7 linked regions of the Cricetulus griseus genome follow. The protein of the gene in region 7 purifies or fractionates together with the protein of the main gene of each other region. This does not show direct contact. Links are inferred from orthologs where the notes say so. Each region holds a gene or a part of one and is shown on either strand. Other genes may lie near its edges.

What was found.
Region 1: the proteins of Ap2m1 (region 7) and Itsn1 purify together in Homo sapiens (affinity purification with mass spectrometry; 3 studies listed by BioGRID and IntAct, counting the BioPlex papers as one, with this or other methods). This does not show direct contact. The link is inferred for Cricetulus griseus from reciprocal best matches to the Homo sapiens genes AP2M1 and ITSN1.
Region 2: the proteins of Ap2m1 (region 7) and Necap1 purify together in Homo sapiens (affinity purification with mass spectrometry; 3 studies listed by BioGRID and IntAct, counting the BioPlex papers as one, with this or other methods). This does not show direct contact. The link is inferred for Cricetulus griseus from reciprocal best matches to the Homo sapiens genes AP2M1 and NECAP1.
Region 3: the proteins of Ap2m1 (region 7) and Aak1 purify together in Homo sapiens (affinity purification with mass spectrometry; 5 studies listed by BioGRID and IntAct, counting the BioPlex papers as one, with this or other methods). This does not show direct contact. The link is inferred for Cricetulus griseus from reciprocal best matches to the Homo sapiens genes AP2M1 and AAK1.
Region 4: the proteins of Ap2m1 (region 7) and Eps15 purify together in Homo sapiens (affinity purification with mass spectrometry; 4 studies listed by BioGRID and IntAct, counting the BioPlex papers as one, with this or other methods). This does not show direct contact. The link is inferred for Cricetulus griseus from reciprocal best matches to the Homo sapiens genes AP2M1 and EPS15.
Region 5: the proteins of Ap2m1 (region 7) and Necap2 purify together in Homo sapiens (affinity purification with mass spectrometry; 4 studies listed by BioGRID and IntAct, counting the BioPlex papers as one, with this or other methods). This does not show direct contact. The link is inferred for Cricetulus griseus from reciprocal best matches to the Homo sapiens genes AP2M1 and NECAP2.
Region 6: the proteins of Ap2m1 (region 7) and Mea1 purify together in Homo sapiens (affinity purification with mass spectrometry; 3 studies listed by BioGRID and IntAct, counting the BioPlex papers as one, with this or other methods). This does not show direct contact. The link is inferred for Cricetulus griseus from reciprocal best matches to the Homo sapiens genes AP2M1 and MEA1.

What each region holds. Positions count from the first base shown.
Region 1 is NC_048597.1:5,925,777-5,929,276, forward strand, and holds part of Itsn1 (intersectin-1), read right to left. Parts: intron 1,893-3,500; coding exon 1,687-1,892; intron 1,109-1,686; coding exon 1,026-1,108; intron 1-1,025. UniProt on the Homo sapiens protein: Adapter protein that provides a link between the endocytic membrane traffic and the actin assembly machinery. Acts as a guanine nucleotide exchange factor (GEF) for CDC42, and thereby stimulates actin nucleation mediated by WASL and the ARP2/3 complex.
Region 2 is NC_048601.1:22,311,587-22,315,086, forward strand, and holds part of Necap1 (adaptin ear-binding coat-associated protein 1), read left to right. Parts: intron 1-1,030; coding exon 1,031-1,131; intron 1,132-1,280; coding exon 1,281-1,385; intron 1,386-1,950; coding exon 1,951-2,032; intron 2,033-2,777; coding exon 2,778-2,886; intron 2,887-3,333; coding exon 3,334-3,500. UniProt on the Homo sapiens protein: Involved in endocytosis.
Region 3 is NC_048601.1:58,727,063-58,730,562, forward strand, and holds part of Aak1 (AP2-associated protein kinase 1), read left to right. Parts: intron 1-2,486; coding exon 2,487-3,500.
Region 4 is NC_048595.1:40,446,703-40,449,832, forward strand, and holds part of Eps15 (epidermal growth factor receptor substrate 15), read right to left. Parts: intron 2,528-3,130; coding exon 2,346-2,527; intron 1-2,345. UniProt on the Homo sapiens protein: Involved in cell growth regulation. May be involved in the regulation of mitogenic signals and control of cell proliferation. Involved in the internalization of ligand-inducible receptors of the receptor tyrosine kinase (RTK) type, in particular EGFR.
Region 5 is NC_048595.1:12,176,806-12,180,305, reverse strand, and holds part of Necap2 (adaptin ear-binding coat-associated protein 2), read right to left. Parts: intron 3,365-3,500; coding exon 3,256-3,364; intron 821-3,255; coding exon 643-820; intron 1-642. UniProt on the Homo sapiens protein: Involved in endocytosis.
Region 6 is NW_023276806.1:256,099,485-256,103,203, forward strand, and holds Mea1 (male-enhanced antigen 1), read left to right. Parts: upstream 1-1,381; 5' UTR 1,382-1,392; coding exon 1,393-1,495; exon of another isoform or gene 1,496-1,524; intron 1,525-1,987; coding exon 1,988-2,268; intron 2,269-2,346; coding exon 2,347-2,449; intron 2,450-2,837; coding exon 2,838-2,989; 3' UTR 2,990-3,219; downstream 3,220-3,719. UniProt on the Homo sapiens protein: May play an important role in spermatogenesis and/or testis development.
Region 7 is NC_048597.1:68,094,040-68,097,222, forward strand, and holds the end of Ap2m1 (AP-2 complex subunit mu), read right to left. Parts: intron 2,893-3,183; coding exon 2,773-2,892; intron 2,672-2,772; coding exon 2,536-2,671; intron 2,437-2,535; coding exon 2,339-2,436; intron 1,777-2,338; coding exon 1,665-1,776; intron 1,092-1,664; coding exon 957-1,091; 3' UTR 501-956; downstream 1-500.

The sequences.
Region 1 (3,500 bases), about 62 Mb from region 7:
AGCATGTTATATCAAAAAAGAGGTTTTTGCCTTGTTCTAATAGTGCTAAAATAATTATTAAGGAAATGTGAATGTGTAAAGATTATCCTAGGAGAGTCCATATAATAATAAATATGTATATTCATATAAAAAATAGTAATAGTTACGTGGAAAAATTTGGAATTTTTTAAGTGGCGATAGGGTTTTACAACTATGCCTGCAAACTAAACAACCATTATTTTGAAAAGTCTCCTTAAGAATGGACTAGTGTTCCTGGGAGTTGGAACGAGCATTAAGCCTTCATCCGTGCAGCCTCTGCTGAAGCAATTATTCCGAGAACTCTGTTTTCCGCTGGCAAAGTTTCTAAGGAACACAACAATTTTACCACAGCACATGAAGCACACTCTGTCATCACAGATGTACTCCAGACACCTGTGAAAAGATTGCCACACACCTCTGCCGACATCTGTAACTGCAGAGCCTGCTCACTGCCACACAGATGCTTAACTCAGGTGGCCCCGGCCAGCGCTACCAGGTAATGACTGCGGTGAGCGTGGAGGAGACCAGTGAGGCCTCAACTGTGTAAAACTTTAAAATACCTCTTTTTACAGCCTGGCATATAATACCTAGGACTATGCCATATAACAAGGGTCAGAGGGGGGAAAAAAGCAATGAATTATTTGTAATAAGCCTATGTAACCTGACTTGGTCATTCACAGAGCACAGAGATCTTGTGGCTCAGCTGGGGTGTACCCAAGGCACTCGTGGTGTTCTGAGAGCTTCACTGGACTGTGCCATCAGTTTTAAAGCAATACAGTTATGGATGTAAACAAGACAAGAGGGCTACACGGGGAAGCAAGGCCGTCATTGACACATGCTCAGAACTTGACCCCTGGTGGACGCAGTGGGCTTCTCACTGCCAGACATCATTAGGCAGGACAGAAACATCCGGCCTATTTAAAAGTGAATCCAGTCATGGTCATTTACAGTCTGCACCAAGTAATGTGCTCAGCCTCCTAAAGAGAGCGGACACACCCCGTCCTCACCTTCTCCAGGAACGGCTGGCTTGGCTGCTGGGGAAGACACTCTCTTTAGGCTAGCAGGACTTTCGGTAGGGCCAGTATCGATGCTGTAAGAAGGGAAGAAAAGAGTATTTTAACTCTCACCTGAGAATACCAAATGACATTGCTTTTCTCTTTGAAAGCTACAGAAGACCAAAGCTGCAGCAGTCACTAGCAGCTGGGTACGGCCACAGTGAGAGTGCTGGAGGCATGCGTGACCACGCTCACCCGTCTGCTTTGCCCACTCACTACACAGGACACACAAGCTCAATGCAGTCTCTTCAGCACTGACTAGCAGATGTTGTGGGCTATTTCTGCTATCTTTGCATGGTGGAATAATCCAATAGTTCTATGCTACATGCAGACACTAATGAAGAAAGCCATTCATTCATTCTTCCAGTCGATTCCCCAAATGCCTTGTATTTGGTACTGTACTGGGTACTAAGCATCCAGAGTCACAATTCCCAACAGCTGCGGGATTCTTAGACAAGGCAACACAGTGCACAGGCTGCTCAGGAGAACGGGATCCCTTTCCACCCTTCACACACACACTTCATCCTGCAGCTCCCACCAGTGAATCTAACCAGCAGGGACAACAATTGCTAATACTGTTTCCGTCAAACAGAAGCAGATAACAATAAAGTACCTGGTAGCTTTCCTCACGGGCCCTGAAATGAGTTTCACGTAAGACTTGGGGAACCAACCCTTGTGACCTTGAACTTCTCCAAACCACCACATGTCTTGCTGTTCCAGAACGGTGATGACATCGTTTTTGTTAAAATTTAAGTGGTTGTCTTTCTTGGCTCTCCAAGGATACAGGGCTTGCGCTTGTAGCCCCTCCACTTTTTCACCCTGTGTGGGATGACATAAAGGACCCGTGATTACACTGCAGTTTTTTAATCAACCAAGACAGAGACACCGTCTCTGCCTGGCAGGAATGCTAGGCGCCTCGTGGCTTCTCTGCAATTGTTCATTTTAAATGTGGAGATCTAAAAACCCTGCCGGCCGCTCCCAGAGCCCCACCCAGCCTTACTTCTTCAGATGCACTGGCTGTGCATCTTTTATACTTTGATGTAACGGGGCAGACATTTCAGGATTGAATGGTGTTTCAGTTTAGGTGGACACATGAAAACAGGCCATGCACTGGACTGTGCTTGTTTTTTCCCATGATTGTGGACATCGTGGGGTTATAAGGATGAGGAAAACATCACTTCTGCTCCCTCCACATAGTTGGGAATTGGCATTTTATTAACATTAAAGTGCTATAAGAATATCCTCTAGTAATAGGAACTTAGTGTACCAGGAAGAGAGAAAAACAGCAAAATATATCACTTGGAGGAGTGAAACACACTACAGAAAAGTTCTCCTGCCTCACCGTGAGATCAGAGCGGCAAGAAGGACAAAGCCTGCCTTGGAGCACCAGGGACAGTTTCACAGGGGAAGAGGCATTTGAGCCCTGAAGGACGAGAAGGGTTTGAGAGCTAGCACTGCAGAAGGGCACTCCAGGCCAAAGGCAAAGGCCTCGAGAGGAGAGGAAGTGGCAGGGCAGGAGACAAGGCTGCAAAGGCAGGTGAGGCACTTATTATCTACTTAAAAATCATGGCGGCGACTTAAACAACTAAAACAAGCCCCACTTGGATTCTCCACATAAATGGATAAGGAGCAGAAGTTCATGTGCAAGGACAGCTGGTCTGGATCTGTCTGCGATTGACTGAGGTGATTTTTATTTCTGCGGTAAGATCTGACTGCATGAAACAGGAAACTTCTGTGAGTGTGTGTGTGACCTCTGACCCTTGCTCTGCATGGATTCTTACCTCCCTACACCTAAACATTCTGACTTTCTTTCATTTTAGCACCAAGATCACTGTGTTCTCCACCTGTCGCTTCCTACTTGCCCAGTGATCACAGTGCTTCTGCCTTGCCTACTCCTCTCAGCTATGTCAGGACTTCCAGGCCAGAGTGGAAGGGAAGCCATTTGCTCTGTGCCTTTACAAAAGTCTGGGACATCTCCCTTGACACTCCTTCCCTAAATGTTAGGTTCTGAACCAGCCCGAGGTCAGATGAGACTTCAGCACGGGGGCTGAATCCCAGATCTGCCACTTAATAATTAATTCTGCGACACTTGGGCAATGACGGATTTCTCCAAGCCTCAGTTTCTGAAGGCTGTCACAATGTTCAGAAAGACCTGCTATCGTCTTTGCTGTGACTGTGACGAGGCTGTAGTACCACAGTCCCTGGTCCTGAGCTGGGCAGTGCTGCGGCCAGTGGTGACTTTGGTTTCCAGGGAACCCCTGCTTTTCCCTGTCCTGGTCACTGCAGGCCGCTCAATGCACAGGCCCCTCACTTACGCTGACTGACGCGCTGCTCCACTCCTCACAAACCAGCAGAGTTCTCGTGGCTCAACTTCCTCCTTCCTCACAGCACGCTTGCACGCTGCATGACTTTCCCTTTCCTCAGTCA
Region 2 (3,500 bases), on a different chromosome or scaffold from region 7:
TCCTTGAACACAAGACTTAGCTCCATTCCACTTCCTGGTGCTCTTTTTCTCCTCAAAATTTACGTTTTGTTATTTACCCTGCTCAGCTTGCTCCTTTGCATCATAAATCTTTATAAGGGTGAACACTAGTAACCACATGACGGAGTTTGTTCTAGGCTGTTTTGAGATTTCCTCTGTCGACAGAATTAAACCATATCTCTTCAGTTTAGCCTCAGGCATTATCTTCAGACAAGGGCAAAAGGCAGCCACTTTCTTCACCAAAATATCTCAAGGACTATCTCTACGCAACGTATTGGAATTCTTCTCTGAAACCTCAGGAGTGAGCCTCTGTCTTCTTCCATGCTCTTAAACAGAGCTTAAAGTATTCCACTGCTTTCCAAACCTAAGTACCTAAGTCCAAATTCCTCCAAACAAAAACATGGTTAGGCCAACACAGCAGTACCCCAGTCCCTGGTACCAACTCCTGCTTTAGGATTTTCATTGTTGTGAAGAGATACCATGACCACGGCAACTGGCTCACAGTTTCAGAGGTTCAGTCCATTATCATGGCGGGGAGCATGGCAGCAGGCAGGTGGACATGTGCTGGAGAAGGAGCTGGGAGGACAGAGAGACAGACACAGACACACCGGGTAGTATCCTGACCATAGGAAACTTCAAAACCTGTCCCCACTGACACACTTCCTCCAACAAAGCCACATTTCCCAATAGTGTCGCTCATTATGAGATTATGGGGGCGAATTATATTCAAACTGCCACAGGTTTCTATATGTAACACCCCTGGCTGCCCTGGAATTTGATTTGTAGACCAGGCTGGTCTCGAACTCACAGAAGTTCATCTGTTCTGCCTCCCTGGTGCTGGGACTACAGGCCTATCCCACCACACCTGTATTAGACATTAGAACACGAGGCCCCAGTTTAAGGGGAGCGTGAGTTATTTTTCATGATTATTTAATAGGCAGAAAGAATAGGCCCTCTAGCATAGCGGAAAAAAAAGGACTGAGGCCTCAGGCTTGCCATTTTCCTTTCACAGGGCATCTGACTGGAAGTTAGACCAGCCAGATTGGACTGGCCGCCTCCGAATCACTTCAAAAGGGAAGATCGCCTACATCAAACTGGAAGATAAAGTTTCAGGTAAGCGCAGGGGTGCTCTCAGACATGGGGGTGCTGGGTTGGTAGGCTTTTGTCAGTAGACTCAGATGGGGGACTGGCAGGGAAAAATCCCTGTTAATTGGAGTTAGCTTTGCTTCTGATGCTCAAGGAGGTCTCTTTCTTGCTGTTAGGGGAGCTCTTTGCTCAGGCACCAGTAGAACAGTACCCTGGCATTGCTGTGGAGACTGTGACAGACTCCAGCCGCTACTTCGTGATCAGGATCCAGGATGGTACCGGTAAGGAAGCTGGGGTTTCTGGTGGGATGAGACCAGGAAATAGCGAATGAGCTCTGATACAGTGGTTGTCTTCCTTTTGCTAACTTTTCTTCCCTTGCTTTCAAAGTTACTATGGTTATCAAAGAAAAAGGGCTAACATTTTATAGACGTGAGCATAAGTTCAATTGAGTTTAAGTTAAATTAATCAAAATGCTTATTTAACAAAAGACATGCACTACCATGCCCAGCCTCCTCATACTTTTTAATAGATTGGTAACCAAAGACAATAAATATTTTTGGCTTTGTGGGCCACGTTGTAAGTGCTGCTCCCAGTTTGGTGGTTGCAGGGTGAAGTAGCCACAGACACATTTGTCCAAGTTGATGTGGCTGTATTCAGTAGAACTTTATTTTCAGACTCTTGCTGTGGGAAGAGTTGGCCTCATTCGGCTGCATGTTATCTGCTGCCTGCTGCTGGTCTGTGAGAAAATACCAAGCAGATTTTATGCAGTTCATGTGACATGTTTGTCTCTGATAGGCAGAAGTCGTCATAAGGAACCCGTTTTCTGAGATTGCTCCTTTTTCACAGGGCGTAGTGCATTTATTGGCATTGGCTTCACAGATCGGGGGGACGCCTTCGACTTTAACGTTTCCTTGCAAGATCACTTCAAGTGAGTGAAGCTTGTCCTTAGATTTCAGGGCTAGTAATCCCGGGGTGGGAGTGCTGCTTCTTTCTGTAAGGGAGTTCCTCTCGCCACGTGGTTTATTCAGTAGTCTCTTCTTTACTTTTTCCTTACCTTTGTACCTGCTGTCTTTCTCTACAGCCTGTAATATATTTTAGGTCCTTGTGCGGTGGTTTGGGTTGATGCTTGTTTGTGACCATGGGGAATTTACCTTTCTCCTAAAGAGGTGCTGGAGGGTGGCACACGGTGGCAGCAGCCTGTCCATGACAGGTGTGTGCCCGTTCTGTCAGTTTGGCTGCTTGTGTGTCTCCTGCCTATGTATCTTCTTCAGCCCCACTGAGTTTGGCACAGCAGTAGTGAGCAGCACCTAGCACCACATCACTTCCTGTCTCTAGGACGGTGTAGCCCTCTCTTCTTATTGCTCCTAACTCTGACATTTAAAGCCCCGAGATGGAACCTGCAAGAACATGGTAACCGACCCCTCTCCTTTGGGGCGGTACTCTGCAAGGGCCGAGAACCGTTGGGAGGGATGCATCTCCCATGCGTTCCCTATTGCCCCTCAGTCTGAGCCCAGCTGGCCTCTTGCAGACTCTTTTCCCTTTTCTTTCTCATGTCTGATGGGTCCCCACTCGGCTTTCTGGAATTCCAGTTGTCTGAATGGGATTTAGCCAGATTCCTGTCAGACTCTGCTTCTTCAGGGAATTCCAAACTGAGATAAATTATTTCCCCAAAGGTGGGTGAAGCAGGAAACTGAGATTTCCAAAGAATCTCAGGAAATGGACAATCGTCCCAAGTTGGATTTAGGCTTCAAGGAAGGTCAGACCATCAAGTTGAGTATTGGGGTAAGTGTGATTTCTTCCTTTTTTTTTTTTTAATTTTCTGTGTATGGGTGTTTTCCTGCATATATGTTTATGCACCACAGGCATGCAGTGTCTGTGGAGGCCAGAAGAGGGTGTTGATCCTCTGGACTGGAGTTACAGGTGGCTATTAGCCGCTGTGGGGGTTGTGGTGGTGCTGGGATTCAAACCTGTATCCTCTGGGAGAGCAGCCAGTGCTATTTACTGCTGAGCCATCTCTCCAGCCCCTATTTTCTTTTAGGAGACAAGGTGTCACTGTATAGCCCTGGTTGGCCTGGAACTTGTTATATAGATCAGGCTAGCCTTGAACTCACATATCTGTCTGCTTCAGCTTCCCGAGTGCTGGGATTAAGGGTGTATATTGACTGAGATTTTTTTAAAAAATTATTTTCCTGTTGTTCTTTAGGTCAGTGATCTCTCTCTCTCTTACAGAACATTACAACCAAGAAAGGAGGTGCTTCTAAGCCCCGGGCCTCAGGGACTGGGGGCCTGAGCTTACTCCCACCTCCACCTGGAGGCAAAGTCACTATTCCCCCACCATCCTCTGTTGCTATCAGCAACCATGTCACCCCACCGCCTATTCCAAAATCTAACCATGG
Region 3 (3,500 bases), on a different chromosome or scaffold from region 7:
GACAGACTTTTCAGGAAAGCCCTGTTAGGTGCACTTTTCCAATCTTAAGAATATTCATAGTGAGATAGAGGAAATAGCTATGATCCTTTTAAACAACGAGAAACTGATTTTCCCTTTAGACTTGATGCTGTGGTGGTTTTTTTGTTTTGGTTTGGTTTTTTATTTTTTGAAACAAGTTCTCACTATATATCTTTGACTGGAACTCACTATGTTGATTAGGCTAGCCTCGAACTCACAGAGATCCATCTGCCTTGGCTTTCTGAGTGCTAGGACTAAAGGCACGAGCCATCACACTCAGCCAATTCTGAGCTTTTCAAAGCTGTCAGTATTTAAATATAAAATATCTTACTATTTATTCACTTCAAAATTCAAAGATGTACTGAGTTGGTGGATTTTTTTTTTTTTTTTTTTTTTTTTACTGGGTTCTTTTTTACTCAAAGCTTGCTACGTGACAGTAGTTTACATTGGGTGAACATGTTCCTCATGTCACATTGTGGATGAGGGAGTTCTCCCCTGCTACCCCATAGCTCTCAGGATGTAATCTACATTGAAGGCATTAGGCCTGGGTCTTTAGATAGATAGATGCTTTTTGCAGTCTGTACATGACTTTGATTGAATGAATCCAATTTCAGATCCTTCAAATCACTGACTACAGTGAAAGCAGTATTATTATCAAATAAGTCCATACAGTACCAGGAGTAATTACTGGCTTGACTGAACCTTCTCTCTGTGTGTGCTAATGAATGCTTTGCTCTGTTGCATAGCCATTGTAGAAGCAATAAATTTCAGGTAGTCTTGGAAAGGAGAAGAAGTGTACCTTAATTTCGTCTAAGAGGAAATAGCCTATGGAATCTTAGGAACCTCTTACATTTCTTGGTGAGTTTTATTTTGAAAGTTAGTGGCTCCCCCTTCCCCCTTCACTTTAGTTCCCTCACAGAAATTATTACCTGGGTATCTCTGAGATAAATCTAATCTCAGTTGTTTTGCCTGAGAAATTACGGTTGTGTCCATATACACTGTGAGGGAACAGGAAGTCTTCATTCCCTACTGGTTTCTGTATGCAAGAGAGCTATAATGCAAGAAAGAGTTTATTCTCTTCAAAATCACATTCTTCAGCTATTATTTAAAAAGCCACACTGTACCAAACAGGATTCAGCTTAAATTTTGAGTTTAGAATACATTATGTTCAAACTATTAGATAGGGAAATAAAAACTGAGGCAGGGGGACTACTGAAAATTACTCATTGTCAACTGATTAAAATGAAGCACTGCTTTTTAAAAAAAGTTACAGGATTCAGAAATACGGTATTTTTGTATTGTGTCTTTTAATCAAGTGTTCAGCCCCCCCTTTGTGTTCTCTATGGTGTAAATCCTTGATAAGTGCTTTTTCAATAAATCAATTTTGTAGCCCCTTCCTCTGTGCTGTGTGCTTAGTTCCAGCAAGGATGCAGTAGATGGCACTGTGTAGTCGAAAGTCCTTCTGGTGAGGCCTTCATCAGATGGAGAGGGCCCAGTTGGGAGGGAGTGGCCAATAGTCAGTGTCCTGATGGGTTGGGACATTCTGGTGATATGTCTTTTTTGAGCCCATAATGGAATATATTTTGTCCCCTACCCCTCTACCCACCCACCCTTTCTCTGGATTCTTCTTGCTTAGTTACATATGCCTTTTTCCTACCCTCTTGCTAACATGTGCCCAATGACATACTTCTAACCTGCTAATATTTCTTGGAAGGTAAGCTCTATTGCATTCTGATAATTGTGTATTTGATTTTAAATGCCAGAGCACCCAGAGGCACCTCTACCTACATTACCACTTATGCTAGTACATTGGAGTTTGCTAGTATTTCTGCTTAAAGAACTTAATGGCGGATTCATTAAACAGAGATCTTTGCTAACTTGGGACACTAAAAACAAAATTCTAGGGCCACTCCAGCCAAAGTTGCTGTCATCTAGTATGACTCAGAAAGTGCCCTCCATATTTGCATCAGGCACCACGTCCTCTGTGAGCACTGCTTTTACTGACAGCCAAGCTTTCTGCCTGTCAGAGGGTCTGTCTTTCTGAATGTGGAGCACATGCCAGATGCTGAGTTAAGTTCATCCCCAGGCAGTGGTTCTCCATAGCCCCAGACTGTCTGGTGTATGTGGAGAGGAATGACTGGGCTTGTTTCCATTTGGCTCTGAGCCAGGTAGAGCAGGTGTCTGTGCCTGGCCTGCAAGTAGGAGTGTTGCCTAGTTGCCCTGAATGTCTGTGTGCCTAACATTTCCACCTTTCCTGTTCATTATGTCTATCATGATCCAAAGTATGAGATTGTGGTTGTGTCCTCAGTCTGTGTGCATTTACCTTGCTTGACTTTTTATTTTTCTGTTTTTCCATTTTCAACATCTATCATTTGGTTCCACAATGTATCTGCCTCGGTTGACCATTAAATGTTCCAAAAAGCTCTGACCCAGCCTCCACATTAATTCTAAATTTTATGCTTTTCTAGGTCTCCAGAGAGAGCCCAGTCCTTGTCCTGTAATTACTGTAGAGCACTTTAAAGAACCCGTGGGTGCCAAAGGCCTCGCCCTCTATCCAGATCCCTGCAGAGTTCCTGGAACAAAGACCCAGAACACCTTAGAATCTGACTCCCTGACCCGAGAGGGGCCTTCCAGCAATAGCTCCTTCCACAGCAGTGAGGAGGAGGGCACCGACCTGGAGGGGGACGTGCTGGACTGCAGCGGGTCTCGGCCTCTCCTTCTGGAGTCTGAAGAGGAGGATGAGAGCTGCAGGCCTCCCCAGGAGAAGCTGGCAGAAGCCACTCTGTTCTCTGAACCTGGAGTGTCTGCTAACCCAGAAAAGGGGGGACAAGGCGGGAAAAAGAGCCAGTTCTTGCCAGTCAACCAGCAGGCCTCAGATGGTCTCGGAGAGCCTGATGTCTTTGCCACAGCCCCCTTCAGGAGCTCTCTGGTTCCAGCAGATGACATGGACATTTTCTCCAAAGCCCCTTTTGTCTCCAAGGGCAGTTTAGCTCCTTCCCAGACAGAGGAGGTGGACGTGTTCTCCAGAGCTCCTTTTACCAAGAAGAGGAGTGTGGAGGAGTTACTGGCCGTACAGGGCTCCTCACAGGATTTGCCAGTGCAGGCCGGCCTCAGTCAGCCTGGTGAAGGGCCCCTGCTTCCAGGCCTCGATAGAGCTATGTACACCCCTGCCCAGACGCAGGGTGTCTTTACGCAGCAGGCTGGTCTCCCTTCCCACTCTGTCCAGGTGGCAGACCATTTTGACAGCAGCTCTCCCAGAGGTTCTCCCATGGAATCTGGGAGTAATCCCAGTGACAGAAACAGAGGCCTGCAGCCCCAGAAAGAAGCCTTTTCTGGGCCGGTGGCTGGCAAGCAATTCCGCCCCCAGGCTTTGTCCAAATATTCCCGACACTATAGCCCAGAAGATGAGTCAAGTCCAGAAGCCCAGCCCATCGCTGCCTACAAGATTGTTTCACAAAGCAATAAGCAGTTGCTGGCTGGCT
Region 4 (3,130 bases), on a different chromosome or scaffold from region 7:
AGTTACAGGCATGGTGGCACATGCCTGTAGTCCTAGAATATGGGAGCCTGAGGCAGGAGGACTTCAAATCAGAAGCCAATCTGGGACATATAGTGATATCCTATCTCAAAACTGGAGACATGCTTAGGTTAGACTAAAAACAGGAGTGGTGTAGTCTTTCAATTCAATGTAAAATGCTTGCTATTTAAACTTTAGTGATGACTTATCACATAGTGATACTTTCCCTTCCCTTCCTTGCTTTTTTTGAACTTAGAATCTCACTAGGTGGCTCAAGTTGGCCTCAAACTTGTGATCCTCCTGCCTGTGTCCTGAGTGGTGGAATTACAACCATATGGCAGCATGCCTGAGTGATGCATAAGATTAATGCCACCGGTGATTGGTGATCGGAAGCTGCCTTACCTGGCCTTTCAGGGAACACCAAAACTGTAAAGCAAAAACAGGCAAATTCTGCTATATATAAGAACATCAGATAGATTAACAGTATGTGAACCAAATATTTTTAAAACACATTATGAAGATTCTTTTATACATAACCCAGTGTGTATATGTACATATATATACACATATATATATGTTTATATATTTAATAAAACCTTAATATTGATGATGATTAGATTGAAAAAAAATATTTGTCACTACAATCAAATTACAAAGAAACTAGATACAAAACTCTACTTGGTTTCAGTGTTGACACATGAGGAGGCCCATCAAAACAAGTGAAACAAACTAGAAAGCTTTTGACAGTGTACATGTATCTCTTGGTATGGTTGCCAAATCTCGAACAATGAAATTGGAAGACTTCACTGTGAGCTACTTTATGCTGTACTGTACTGATATTCTGAGTATGAAATAAGCAAAATGCCTCCACTATTGTTCAAGATTCATTCCAACCAGGTTTTGACTTGCAGGACCATATTTAACATACTGAATGTCACAAACTCCCGTGTTATTTTATACCAAGGATTACAATCTAAGAAAGCCAATTCTTTTCTTCGTGAAACAACTCAAATTCCACCTGATATGGAAGATGATCCTGAGGTGCCATTTCTTTTCAATATTAAAAATAGGGATTTCTATCTTGTTCCTTCACATTTAGGAGATGCCACGGAACCTAAGAGGACAGACTCAAAAGGTAGGTACTGCAACTACCTTAGCTGCATATGGATTCCTGCCTGTCCCTTTTCTAAGTATGCAGAGTAGCAACAGGGATAAAATAACTACTGAAATGACCCAAATGGTACCCAGAGGAGGAAAACATTAGGCAAACTGTGGCCAGGGACATTTGGCCACTCAATCTCGAATCTCCAAAGTCAAGGATAAAAGGTGATACATAGGGAAATTCCTCTTACAGAACAGGCAGTAGTAATGAATGTCACTTTGACTGAAAAAAAAAAAATCTGGTAAAATGAAACTTTGTTAGCTACTTTAAGAATTTCATTAAAAAAAGATCTGTTTTATCTGAGCAATGACGAAATACATGATGCAGCTACAACTGGTTGCTCCATTTCTCCATAAAGGCCTTGCCCAAGCTGTTCTCATAACACTTCTCCAAGTTTCTTAAAGAATTCTTAGATTTTTTTTTTTTTTTTCCCTAGACAGAGTTTCTCTGTGTAGCTATGTAGACCAGGCTGGCCTCGAACTCAGGGAGATTCACCTGCCTCTGCCTCCAGAGTGCTGGGATTAAAGGTGTGCACCACCACCACCCGGCAAGAATTCTTAGATATTAACAACAGTTTATTTCGTAAAACTGAAAAGGGTATCATGGTAGAGCACAAACTTAGCATGAATGAGTAACTGGGTTTACAGACTGATAAAAAGAACCACAACAACAAACCATGAAAGCTAGTACATGAATATAGTGGGTAAAGAGTGTTGCTTTGTATTCAAAGAACCCCAGCACTGTCCTCTCACAGAAACTGCCAACCAGTCTCTAGAAACTGCTAAAACTTTGTACACAAACACACATACACAGTTATAAATATACAAGCTTGTTACTGGCATTATACACAGTAGGCAGACAGCAAACTTTTAAATCACCATCATGCATGACAATTTGCCAAATATAACTGTTGAGACTTTACTTATATTTATATTACCAGGACTGAAAGACAGGTTTATAAAACAACTTGTTTAAAGAACCAAGACAACTAAAATCAGCTGAACAATGGAATCATCTAAGAACCAGCAAAACAAATGCAAACAGATTTTGCTTGGGGAGAATAAAAGATAATTTTTAGTATGTTGGCAAAATGATGCAAATTTGGAAGACTATGAAGAAATCTTTGACAACTCTTCAAACTATAATGGAAAGATTTTCCCCCAAACAGCCCATTCACAGTACTTACAGCACTGAAGTTAGCAAAATTGCTTGGGTCAGCCTCTTTATTGGTAGTGGCAGTAGAAGTGAATGGATCACAAAACATATCAGGATCTTTTTCTTTGGGACTATCATTGCCTGGGAAAGGCTGAAATGGATCATTCAGTTTAAAGGGATCAGAAGAATCCAATTTGTTGATGGGTCTTTTCCCTGGATCAAAATCATTACAATTAACCAGTAGATATAGAAAACACAAGCACACAAGAACATGTTCACAGGGAGCGTTAAAGAACTGCAGGTGGGGGACAGAGGTCCAGGCACATTCTCAATGTGGCCCTCAGTGGTCACACCACTGTCCTCAAAGCTTTCACACTTCTCTCTCAAATAATTTCAGGTGCAGCTAAATGGACAAAGACCAAAACCAAAAAAGTGGAAATGAGCTAAGAATCATGATCTTGTCCAATGATGAAGTCTTTCTCCATTTAAAGAGGCATGCTCCTAAGAAAGATAATGATAAACAAGGAACACTGATAAAGAATAAACACAGCCTCAGCCTCTCACTAGCGGCAGCAAAGATATGTGACTCTGAAATGTGGCAAATTTCTTTTGTCTTTTCTCTAGTATATTTACACATACATAATGCTAGCAGCATAAAACATAAGATTAACTTGACAAAACCTCTTATTTTTTTGCCATCTATAAAACTTCAAGCTGAGGATGAGAAACACTTCGAAGTCCATAGCCTTTATAAAAAGCTGCTGACAAGCTAAACTTTGACCAAGAAACAGTATAATTCACCACCCATCATTTCAA
Region 5 (3,500 bases), on a different chromosome or scaffold from region 7:
CTGCTGACAATGCTGTGGAAAAGGGCTGGTGACTATCCCAGCTTGTTGGGGAAGTATAGGGAAAGAGCTCCCCAGCACTGCCCACTGGGAGCAGCCTCTCAGCTTCCCAGCTCTTGCTGGTGCACCAAGGAGCCCACACCAGATCTCCCCAGTGGTGTCTCCTGCTCACATGGCACACTAATGGCTGCATCGACCTCAGAACAGTGCTTCTCAAAACCTGAGCCTTGGTCTCACTCTTCTTTCTACTTAGAATGCCAACACCTCTGACGAGTGGCTTTCCTTCATAGTCTAAGCTCCTCCGGAAAGTCCCCCAAGGGGGATGTTGCTGGCCCTAGTGACCTGGGCCCGATACATTTGGCCTGTGCACCTGTGGTTCACCTTTCCCATGACATCTGGGCACAGACTACTTGATAACACACTGAGGCCCAGACACCTGAACACTGAGAACTTCACAGTCACTGCCTACCAGGACAGGACAGATGTCCTGAAGGGGAAGGAGAAAGGCCAGGAAATAGAAGAACGTCAAGTGTATGCAAGACACACTCTAGAGCCACCATCTACACACACACAGGGAGTGTGAGAAAGGGAAGCAACAAGATCACAGCTGCCAGCTACAGATGCAGGGGTCACCCCAGCACTCACCTGAAACAGAAATAACTGCTGGCTGGGCTGCAGAGCCCCCAAAAGACAACTGCTCCCCAGGGGGAGGGATAAGAGTGGAGGTCTTGCTCCCTGGAGGAGGGGGCAGCAGGTTCAGCCCTCCTGTGCTGGCAGGCCTGGTTCTTGGCGTCCCAGGTGCTGCTTCCTTCTTTCTCATGTTCTAAAGAGAAGAGAAGAATGCAAATCAGCCATCATGCCACAGTCATCATGTACTGGAAAAACCCATGGAGACCTCCAGTCCTCAGCATCTGTACAGCAAACGATAGTCCCATTCAGCAGCAGCAGGAGCTATAGCCAGGCCATCCCAATTTTCCATCTAGCACCAATGCCGTCGATGTTAAAACCCAGCACCTGATTTCACTTTTCATAAGGAAAGTACACAACAATTACAGCCACACACCATTCTGCCCCATGAAAACTGCAGAGTACTGACAGGGACGGAGCGGCCACAACATTCATGCACAGTGGGGTAAGGGAAGCCGGTCAGAGGACTCTGCTGAAGAAGCCAAAGGCATCCACTAAGCGCATCACAGGATTCTGAGGTCTCATCCTTAGACACATGTGCTCCACAAAGACATGAGCTTGAACATTCACAGCAGCACCAGCTGGAGCTCACCAGATGGCATCCCCCCAGTGTCTATCCTCAGTGAGACAGATGAGCTAGGAGCACACACACAATGGCATGTGCCATCACAGAGGACAAACCACCCAGGCAGCAATATGGGAAACTCTTACAACATGACACTGAATGAGGGGGATCATATACGAAAGGATTAATTCTCCCACACAACTCACAAAAGCGAAGCACAGACCCAATCCAGGGTATCTGAAGTCAGGGCAGGAAGCTACCAGAAGTGGGTAGGACAAGGGCTCCCAACACAGTCTTTTACTTCCTGACCTAGGGAAGTCCCATGCTTTGAAGGTGGGTGTGTGTGTGTGTGTGTGTGTGTGTGTGTGTGTGTGTGGTTCCTGACCTAGGGAAGTCCCATGCTTTGAAGGTAGGGTGTGTGTGTGTGTGTGTGTGTGTGTGTGTGTGTGTGTGTGTGTGTGTGTGTGTTTCCTGACCTAGGGAAGTCCCATGCTTTGAAGGTAGGGTGTGTGTGTGTGTGTGTTCACACATGTGCTTGAGGATGCATGTGAGTATGCAGGCCAGAGGTTGACCCTGAGTGCCATCTTCGGTGGAAACACCAGCCACCTCGAGTCTACATCTCTCGCTGCCCTGGACCTCACCACTTAGGTGAGGATGGCTGCCCAGTGAGCACCAGGGACCTTCCAGTCTGTCTCCCTAGCACTGGGCTACAAGCATGTGCTTCCCACACCCAGCATTTCTTTTTGCTTTTTATGTGGGTCTTGAATTTAGGTTGTCCGGCTTGCAACATCTATCTTCCCAGCCCTTTGTTCGGTTTTATAACTTGAGCACTTTTCTGCACGTGACACTTCGACACAACATAATAAAGCATTGAGCACCAAGTGTGAGCCGGAAACCGGCACGAGCCACGTGGATGAGGACAGCAGCTCTGCGTGAGCACAGTGTGGCAGGGGTGGAAGACTCAGCATCCTCCACGTGCATCCAGCTGGGCCAACTATTTCTAATTCTCCTACCCTGGCCAAGTCCCCCCCCCCCAGCTCTGTGCCTCAATCTCTCATCTTTTACAAAGGGACATCCTGAAGCCATATGAGAAATGCCTGAAAACACTACCTGGCCCACAGCTGGCGCTCATTAAATGTTAGTGTCTTCCAAGCAAGAGAAAGAATCACAGTGCCACTAGTCCACTGGATTGGCCTTGCATTTTCTCTCAAGGGCCAGCTGGCCAACGTCAAGGTTCCAAAGCATCACCAGCATGAAGCAGGAAAGAGAAAGAAACGGTGAGTAAAGAGGACAAGCAATTCAGAGTCACACGCTTCCTCCAAACAGACCCATTTGGCCCTGGTTCCCCCAATGCCCTCCAATTCCACCGACCCCTCTACTCCAGCAGCCAGGGAGAGACCATGTCTGGGCACCCAGTTCACCATGACAAGTGCTGGCAGGGGATGCTGGATGCAAAGCCACACAGGAAGAAGACTCAAGGAGCCAGGACAGTACCACCAGCAGAAGCTGCCTTGGCTCTCAGCATCCATCCACGATTCCTTCCAGCACAGTGTGCTCCCAAACCTTCCTCACTCAGGCATGAGGCCAAGATACAGCGTGAGATAAGCACACTGAACCTCCTGATCACTCCATCAGCCAGGACAGAAACACTGGTACTGAGTGGCTACCCTCTGATCCCTCATGCCCGCCCACAGGCCACTCTTTCCAAGAAGGCTTCCATGGATTCCTGCATTATGGGCCATGTGTTTTTCCTCCAGAAGCCCTAGTAGCAGGGCTGCTCTCCTGCCATTTTGCAATCGCATCTGTACATGGCCAGCTCAACTTGGAAAGCCATGGAAGCAGAGGCCTGGTACCCTGGGGTGAACGAGGCCAAACTGATGGGTCAACTATGGCTACATGGATGGAAGTAAACTATGAAGGATTCGGGGGATTGGGAGACTTTGGGCTGGGTGGCTTCAAGAGTCACAAAACCATGGCCCACACAGTCAAGTGAGGGTAGGACTCACTGCGATGTTGATCTTGATGGTCTGGCCCTCCTTGAAGCCCAGGTCCAATTTGGGGCCTTCGTCTGGGTTCTGGGCTTGTTTTGCAAACTCACTCTGTTGTTTCACCCACCTGGAGAGGGCCAGGAAAAGAGAGGTGAGGCAGGAACAGCAGCTACCCTGCCTTCACACACAAGGCCTCCAGTCCAGGAGGCCTGTGCTGAGGCCACCTTCCCAACCAGCAGTCCAGATGCCAGCTCTGAAACCCT
Region 6 (3,719 bases), on a different chromosome or scaffold from region 7:
GAGACAGGCCTGTCCTTCAGTTGGCTTGCCACTACTACCCCCCCCCCCCGACCTCCCTCAACCCTACATTGTATTCTTTAAACAGCCATCTATTTCAACCTGAAATAGCAGCAGCCAAAAGTAACTCTCACTTCAGTGCTCCTGCTCTTAAATCTGGGCTTGTCGGGAAAGCTGACTAAAAGCTTTAAGAAGGGAAGTCCAAGGCAGGTGTGGTAGGGCATGCCTTTAATCTCAGGGTTAAAGGGGAGGCTGTGATGTCTATGAGGTTAAGGCCACCAGAGCTACATAGTTAGACCCTGTCTCAAAAAAAAAAAAAAAAAATGGGGTGGGGGGGAAGGACACACATCAATTTCCCTCATAGCCTTCACTCTCCCTTGAAGGTAAATCCAGATAAAATGGAAATGCACAGATGAGACTATCAATCCCAAAGAGAGTCGGATAAAGATCCCATCATCTTCATTCACAAGGATGACTCAAGGACAGGGGTTTCCGGCATTCTCCACCATTACACTTTCCATCTTCCACTCACTTGGTGTTCGCTCCCCCTCCCTGACTGCTTGCAGTTTTTGCTCTCCACCTGCGAGCCTTGACCTCCTGAGAGCTCTGCGGTTCCCTCCTTGCCTTTCCTTCTGCATCACTGCAAGGCCCACACTAGAGCCCTCTAATTCGTCTACCTCCACGAGGGAAAGAATACATTCATCGTCCCCTTCCAACCAGAGACGCTCCCCTCTGAGTATGACTCGACTGCTGTTTATTCCACCTTTCCCAGCCGCCCCTCCCCCACAGCGCCAGACACTGTCCCCTCCCCCTGCCATTATGCTCAGCTTCCTGATTCTCTTCAGAACACACTCGTCCAGTTTCTTTCTGCGCCTCCTCCAGCCACCAGGTCTTTCCCACCCATCTCCGCACCATTTCCCCCAAACCTTTCGCTGTCCATTAACTCTCCTCTTTCCCAGCATCCCCCTAGTTCCTTCCCCACCGCCATCTCATCCTTCCCAGCCCCTCCCCCGCGACTCCAGCGGTAGGATGGGGTGTCACCAGACCCTCCAATCTTTCTCATCCCTCATCCCATCCCCGACTACCTGCCAGGCCGGGCCGGGGTGGGGCCGCGGGTCCTCGCGCTGCTGGCAGCCTAGAGCCCGTTGCGCGCCAACCGATTCCTCGGTCCCCAACGAGATAAACACTGCCAGGCTCCGTCCTTCCGGCGGGCAGCAGGGCGCGCACGCGCAGTGAGAACCCTGGGCCCGACGCCTTCAGGGATTTGTAGTCTCAGGGACTTGTAGTCCTCAAGCTGCCTCAGGACTGGCAGCCGGAGGGGGGTGCGCGTGCGCAGAATACGGCGCTCTCCCGAGGGTCACTGGGTAATGTTGTTCTTTGTGGTCCGGGCAGGGGATGGCGGAGGCGGACTTCTCGTCCTCGCTTGCGTCAGTCTTGGGCACGGGGCGGGGCTGGAGGACTAAGAGCCGCAGCGCGTCCTGCCCCGCCGGAAGTGAAGGTGCGGGTCCGGCTGTGGGCTCTGAGAGGGTGAGGCGCGAGCAAACACCAACGCCAAGAGTCAGTGGGGGCGGGTAGGGGACGCTGCAGCCGGGGGCCATTGAAGGGCTTTCTTTAGGCGGTACTGCGGTGGCCCAGAGAGAAGGGATGAGGGGCGGGGACGCGCGATCGTGGGTAGTCCGGCGACCTGCAGTTGCCAAGCCCGGGAGGGGCGTGACGGGAGAAGGCGAGGTTCTGGATACGGTCTCTTCGGAAGCGGTGAAGCCCTCCGGTTGTCTGTTTATTCAGGAATCGGGAGAATTAAAGACTGGTGGGCTCGAGTTCAATATGAGAACCCAGACTTAAGGCGGGGAGGCACAAGGGATGGGAGAAGGTAGGAAGATGCTCTGAGAGAGGGAAGTGGGTTTTATGAATGTAAAAGGACACTGCAAATCGTGGGATGAAAGCGGACTTGGTTTCATCCAATCCCTATCCCGCCTTTCTGTCCTTGCAGCCCCTGCCCGGATGGCAGCAGTAGTTCTAGGGGGAGACACCATGGGCCCTGAACGTATCTTCCCCAATCAATCTGAGGACTTAGGGCCACATCAGGGTCCTACAGAAGGAACTGGGGATTGGAGCAGTGAAGAACCTGAGGAAGAGCAGGAGGAAATAGGAGCAGGCCCAGCAGGCTACTCCTACCAGCCCCTCAATCAAGACCCTGAACAGGAAGAGGTGGAGCTGGCACCGGTGGGTGACGGAGAGGATGGAGCTGCTGACATCCAAGACCGGATCCAGGTAGGGTGGAGGGATTGTTCCAAAGAGGGTGAAACAGCGCACCAAAACCTGGATGCAAATGACCTCCTGTTTCTGCAGGCCCTGGGGCTTCATTTGCCAGACCCCCCATTAGAGAGTGAGGATGAAGATGAGGAGGGAGCTGCAGCATTGAGCAGCCACAGCTCTATCCCCATGGACCCAGGTAAAAAAGCTCATTCTTTCATTTGGGAATACCCGTGAAGGAAACCAGTAAGAAGTTTCAAAGAACCACCTTACTCTTAAAAAGAAGGCGCGGTGGTGGCACATGCCTTTAATCTCAGCACTCGGGAGGCAGAGGTATGCGGATCTCTGTGAGTTCGAGACCAGCCTGGTCTCCAAAGCCACAGAGAACCGTCTCGAAAAACCAAAGGGGGGGAAAAAAGTTTGTTAACAGATTTCAGACTTCAGAATCTAGGTGAAATGCTACTTAGCTAGACTTGGCAATAATGTGGAATTGGTGATTCCAGAGTCAGGGGTCCTGTGTTGATTCAAGGAATAGGGAGAAGTGGTCCCTTATGTCTTCCCTAACCAGCCTGTGGCTATGCTTTCAGAACACGTGGAGCTGGTGAAAAGGACGATGGCTGGAGTAAGCCTGCCTGCACCAGGGGTCCCTGCCTGGGCTCGGGAGATATCGGATGCTCAGTGGGAAGATGTAGTACAGAAAGCCCTCCAAGCCCGGCAGGCATCCCCTGCCTGGAAGTAACCACACGGAGAGCTGCCCCGTCTCCTCCCTACATTGCAAGCCGGGACCAGCACAGGACTAACACAACTCTGGTTTTAACACCCACCTTCCCATGTCCCTTTCCACATCAAGGCAAATCAGACTCTCAGAGACCCACTTTATTCAGTTCTGTACATATGGGGACATTGGCCCGAGCCCAACCCACCTTAGCATGTATCATTCTGTGGAGAATAAAGCACCCTATGTACACAGCCAGAAGCCACACTGCCTGTGCCCCTGAAACCTGGTCCAGCCCTCCCCAGTCCTTGCTTTTCTGAGTGCCCAAAGGGTACAGGTGATGGCCTGCCCAGCATCAGCATAAGCAAGGAAAGAAATAGGTGCTGCAGGAGCCATGCCTGGGGCACTGCTCCTACTTCCTTCTCCATAGCTGAAAGCAGTCAGCCACCGGGTGGTCCCTTCCATGTTTGTTATCCCAGGACTGCTGCTTGCCATAGAGGGGCCAGGTAGATGGTTCATTCTCCCCACCTTGGTCCACTGGGCCTATATTCATCTAGTGTCCATAACATACATTTCTGACCTCTGTGTTGTCATGGTTAGGTGGAGGATAAAAGGAACACACCACCACCAACCCCTGCCTGCATAATGCTAGGGCTAGGGGCCTATTTGTGCTGCTGGGGGTCGGTTCTCCAGCTCTTCACTCCAAGGGCCAATGGAGCTTGATGTAACTTTGGTGACAATCTCCTGCTTTACC
Region 7 (3,183 bases):
TCCCAAGTGCTGGGATTAAAGGCGTGTGCCACCAACGCCCGACACAAATACAAATCTTACTTGATATATGCTAACTAGAAAACTTCACATCTGCAACACTGCACTTGGGAGGTGGAGGCAGGAGAATCCTGAATTCAGCCAACTGGGCTTGCACAATGAAAACCCAGCTCAAAGCAAACAAAGCCTGGAGTGGAGGCACATGTGTGTAATAGCAGCACTTGGGAGGCAGGGGCAAAGGGATCACCAAAACTTCAAGGCCAGTCTGGTCTATAGTAAGTTCTAGGTCAGCCAGGGCAGTATGTGGCAAGACTCAACAAAACAAAGCTTGGCATGTCAGTATACACTTTTAATCCCAGCACTTAGAAGGCAGAGGCAGGCAGACCCCTGTGAGTTTGAGGCCAGCCTGGTCCACACACAGAGTTCCACGACAGCCAGGGCTACACAGAGTTAACAGGCCCACCAGACCCTCCCCGACAGCCCCATTAACACTAGCCAACAACTCCACTCTACAGTTTATTGGGTTTATAACTGGACGAAGTCACATGTGTACAAAACAAAGCATACTATCCCAAAGCAGAGTAGGGGTTAAGGGCTGGGGATCTGTTACTGGCCTTTAGGGGAGCTCTGAGGTGAGGGGTTGTCAACCATCCTACTGCAGAGGTGTGGCCACAAGGGTAGAAAGGAGAGGGGGCCACCTGACTTTGGTCACAAAACTCAGGGCCTGGTACTAAGCCAGGACAGATAGATGGAAGAGAAGCCTCAAAAACCACCCTGCCCAGGAAGCTGGGGACCGCCTCAGCAGTCCCACTGTGGCTGGTTCAGACCTATACTCAGGGGCTAGAGTAAAGGAAAGGCAGCAAAGCAGGAGGGAGGAAAGACACTGACGAGTGGTCACTGGGGTACTTGAACCTGTGGAAAAGGGTGGGTGGGGAGGTGGGCCAGCTGCCACTAGGCAGCTAGCAGCGGGTTTCATAAATGCCACTTCGGCCAATGTATCGCACCCATTTGATGACATCATGGTCACTGTAGTTCAGCTTCGGTTCAAATACCTTCAAGTAGCGCACCTTGAGGCCAGAAGGCGCGAATGGCACCTGGGCAGAGGACAGCTCCAGTTAGGAACATGGCCTTCCTATCACAGTGGATCTACTCTGGCAAGTTCCATGGTTCACTGCCCTTATCTACCACAGGTGTTTTTGAATTGCTGGGGTGGGGGAGCTCACTAGGAGGTTACCAAGTGAAGAGTTACTATGATCATCTCATGTCTGAAGAAGGCCCCAGCTGTGATGATAACCATTCCTCTAATGTCAGGAGGTAATCAGAGAACTACCTTTGACATACTTATCCTTGTCAACACCATGGACTGCAAAAATGAAGGGAGAATATGATGTCTAATTCACACAAAGCAACATCAGCTTGTCTTGTCTCTAACAAAATTCTCTTAACTGTCTTTTAAACAATCTAAATGTTTCTCAGGAACTGTTTTGTGACAAGTCAAGAAGTCAAGCTTTCTGTCAGATCAAATTTTGACTTCTATTAAGAGGCTTAAAGAGGATGGGTCTATCAACTCAAGACACTTCCCAGTTTCCTCACCCCCAAGGAGCAGAGACTGATCTGAAAGACTTTCCTATCACACCCAGCCATGGCACTAGGCTTGCCCGCCATACCTCAAAGTTCATGGAGATGGGGGGTCGAGCCCACTTCTTCTTGTCATTAGTGGGCAGAAGTTCAATCTCTGCGCTGATCTGTGATTCCTTCATGCCTGCCATGCGCTTGATCCTAGGAACACAGGGATAATGGGCAGTAGTGGCCTGTGATAGTTTGGAGAATTCTCAAAGTAGGGATTGCTTATTTCAAGCATGGAGAGGGAATAAGGGCATATGGGCTTATGGGTGGTGTCAGGGTAAGGATGCGAGCTCAGGGCCCTGAGAACTACTTGTTACACCTTAAGCACTTGGGGCTTCAATTTCTTTTTACACGTATGGGTGAGATCTCCCTTACCTAGACTGTATGTTTCAGACACAAGACAAGGGTCAATGGGAAATACTTTTGAAAAATAGACACATACAAGCTCAAGTGCCGGTGTGCGTGTGCTCTCTCTCTCTCTCTCTCTCTCTCTCTCTCTCTCTCTCTCTCTCTCTCTCTCTCACACACACACACACACACACACACACACACTGTCTCTTTGTGTCTCTCTCAGCTGACAATACAAACACAGGCTCCTAGAAAAGCAGGCACACTTCTCTCACCCCATAATCCACATAAGAGGACAGAAGGTGAAACTTAACGAGAAGGTACACTATGGCATCTTGAGCCTGGCTGTGGCCTCCTCAAGACTCACTTCCATACAATGGCGTTCTCGCTGGCCTTGTACTTGGCCTTCCCCTTCATGCAGATCACCTGCACCCCGCTTGTGTTCAGTGGGGTTGGGATCCTCACCTAGAAGTGACACAATCGTCAGTGAGCTCTGTGAAGGCCTAATGTTATCTGTCCCTACTCCCGAGTCAAGTCCACCTTCCCCAAGTTCCTTATCCTCACCTCAATCTTCTGGGCCAGAAGTGAGGGCTTGAAGTTGGACTTGATGACCACCTTGACCTCCAGTTTGGTGCGTCCCACTTCCCGAACTAATGGGATCACCCGGAAAGGAAGGATGATGTCCTTGGTGGTACGATATCTTTGGAGGAGAGAACAGATTGGATACCACAGGGCTGGTCCCGCTCTCTTCCTCCCACCTCTTCCAGGTGCACCCCCTGCCTCCTCACACCCCAGTGGCACCTCATGAGTTCAAACTCTCCATCAGGTGGGATGAAGCTGATGCTTCGTTCAGAGTCAAACTTGCTGAGTCGCACACACTGGTGGAAGGTGCAGTCATCAATGGCAATTGATTGCTTACCGCTGCAAACAGAAGTAGAACTAAGAGGCCATGCCACAGTAGGCTAGCCACTCTGGTTATGGGAAGCTATCGGAACAGCTTTCTGACTTGGGAATCCCTGGGAAGCTATCGGAACAGCTTTCTGACTTGGGAATCCCTGCCCTACAGTTTGAGGTGAGGGAGAGCCTTCAGGTTCATTATCACCTGAGAACCCTGATGCTGGGGAACAAAGGAGCTTGTTCTCCGAGGACATGACAGTCCCTTCATCTATCTTATCACTTGATGCTCTTGCAATGACAGAGTTAGCAGTTCCA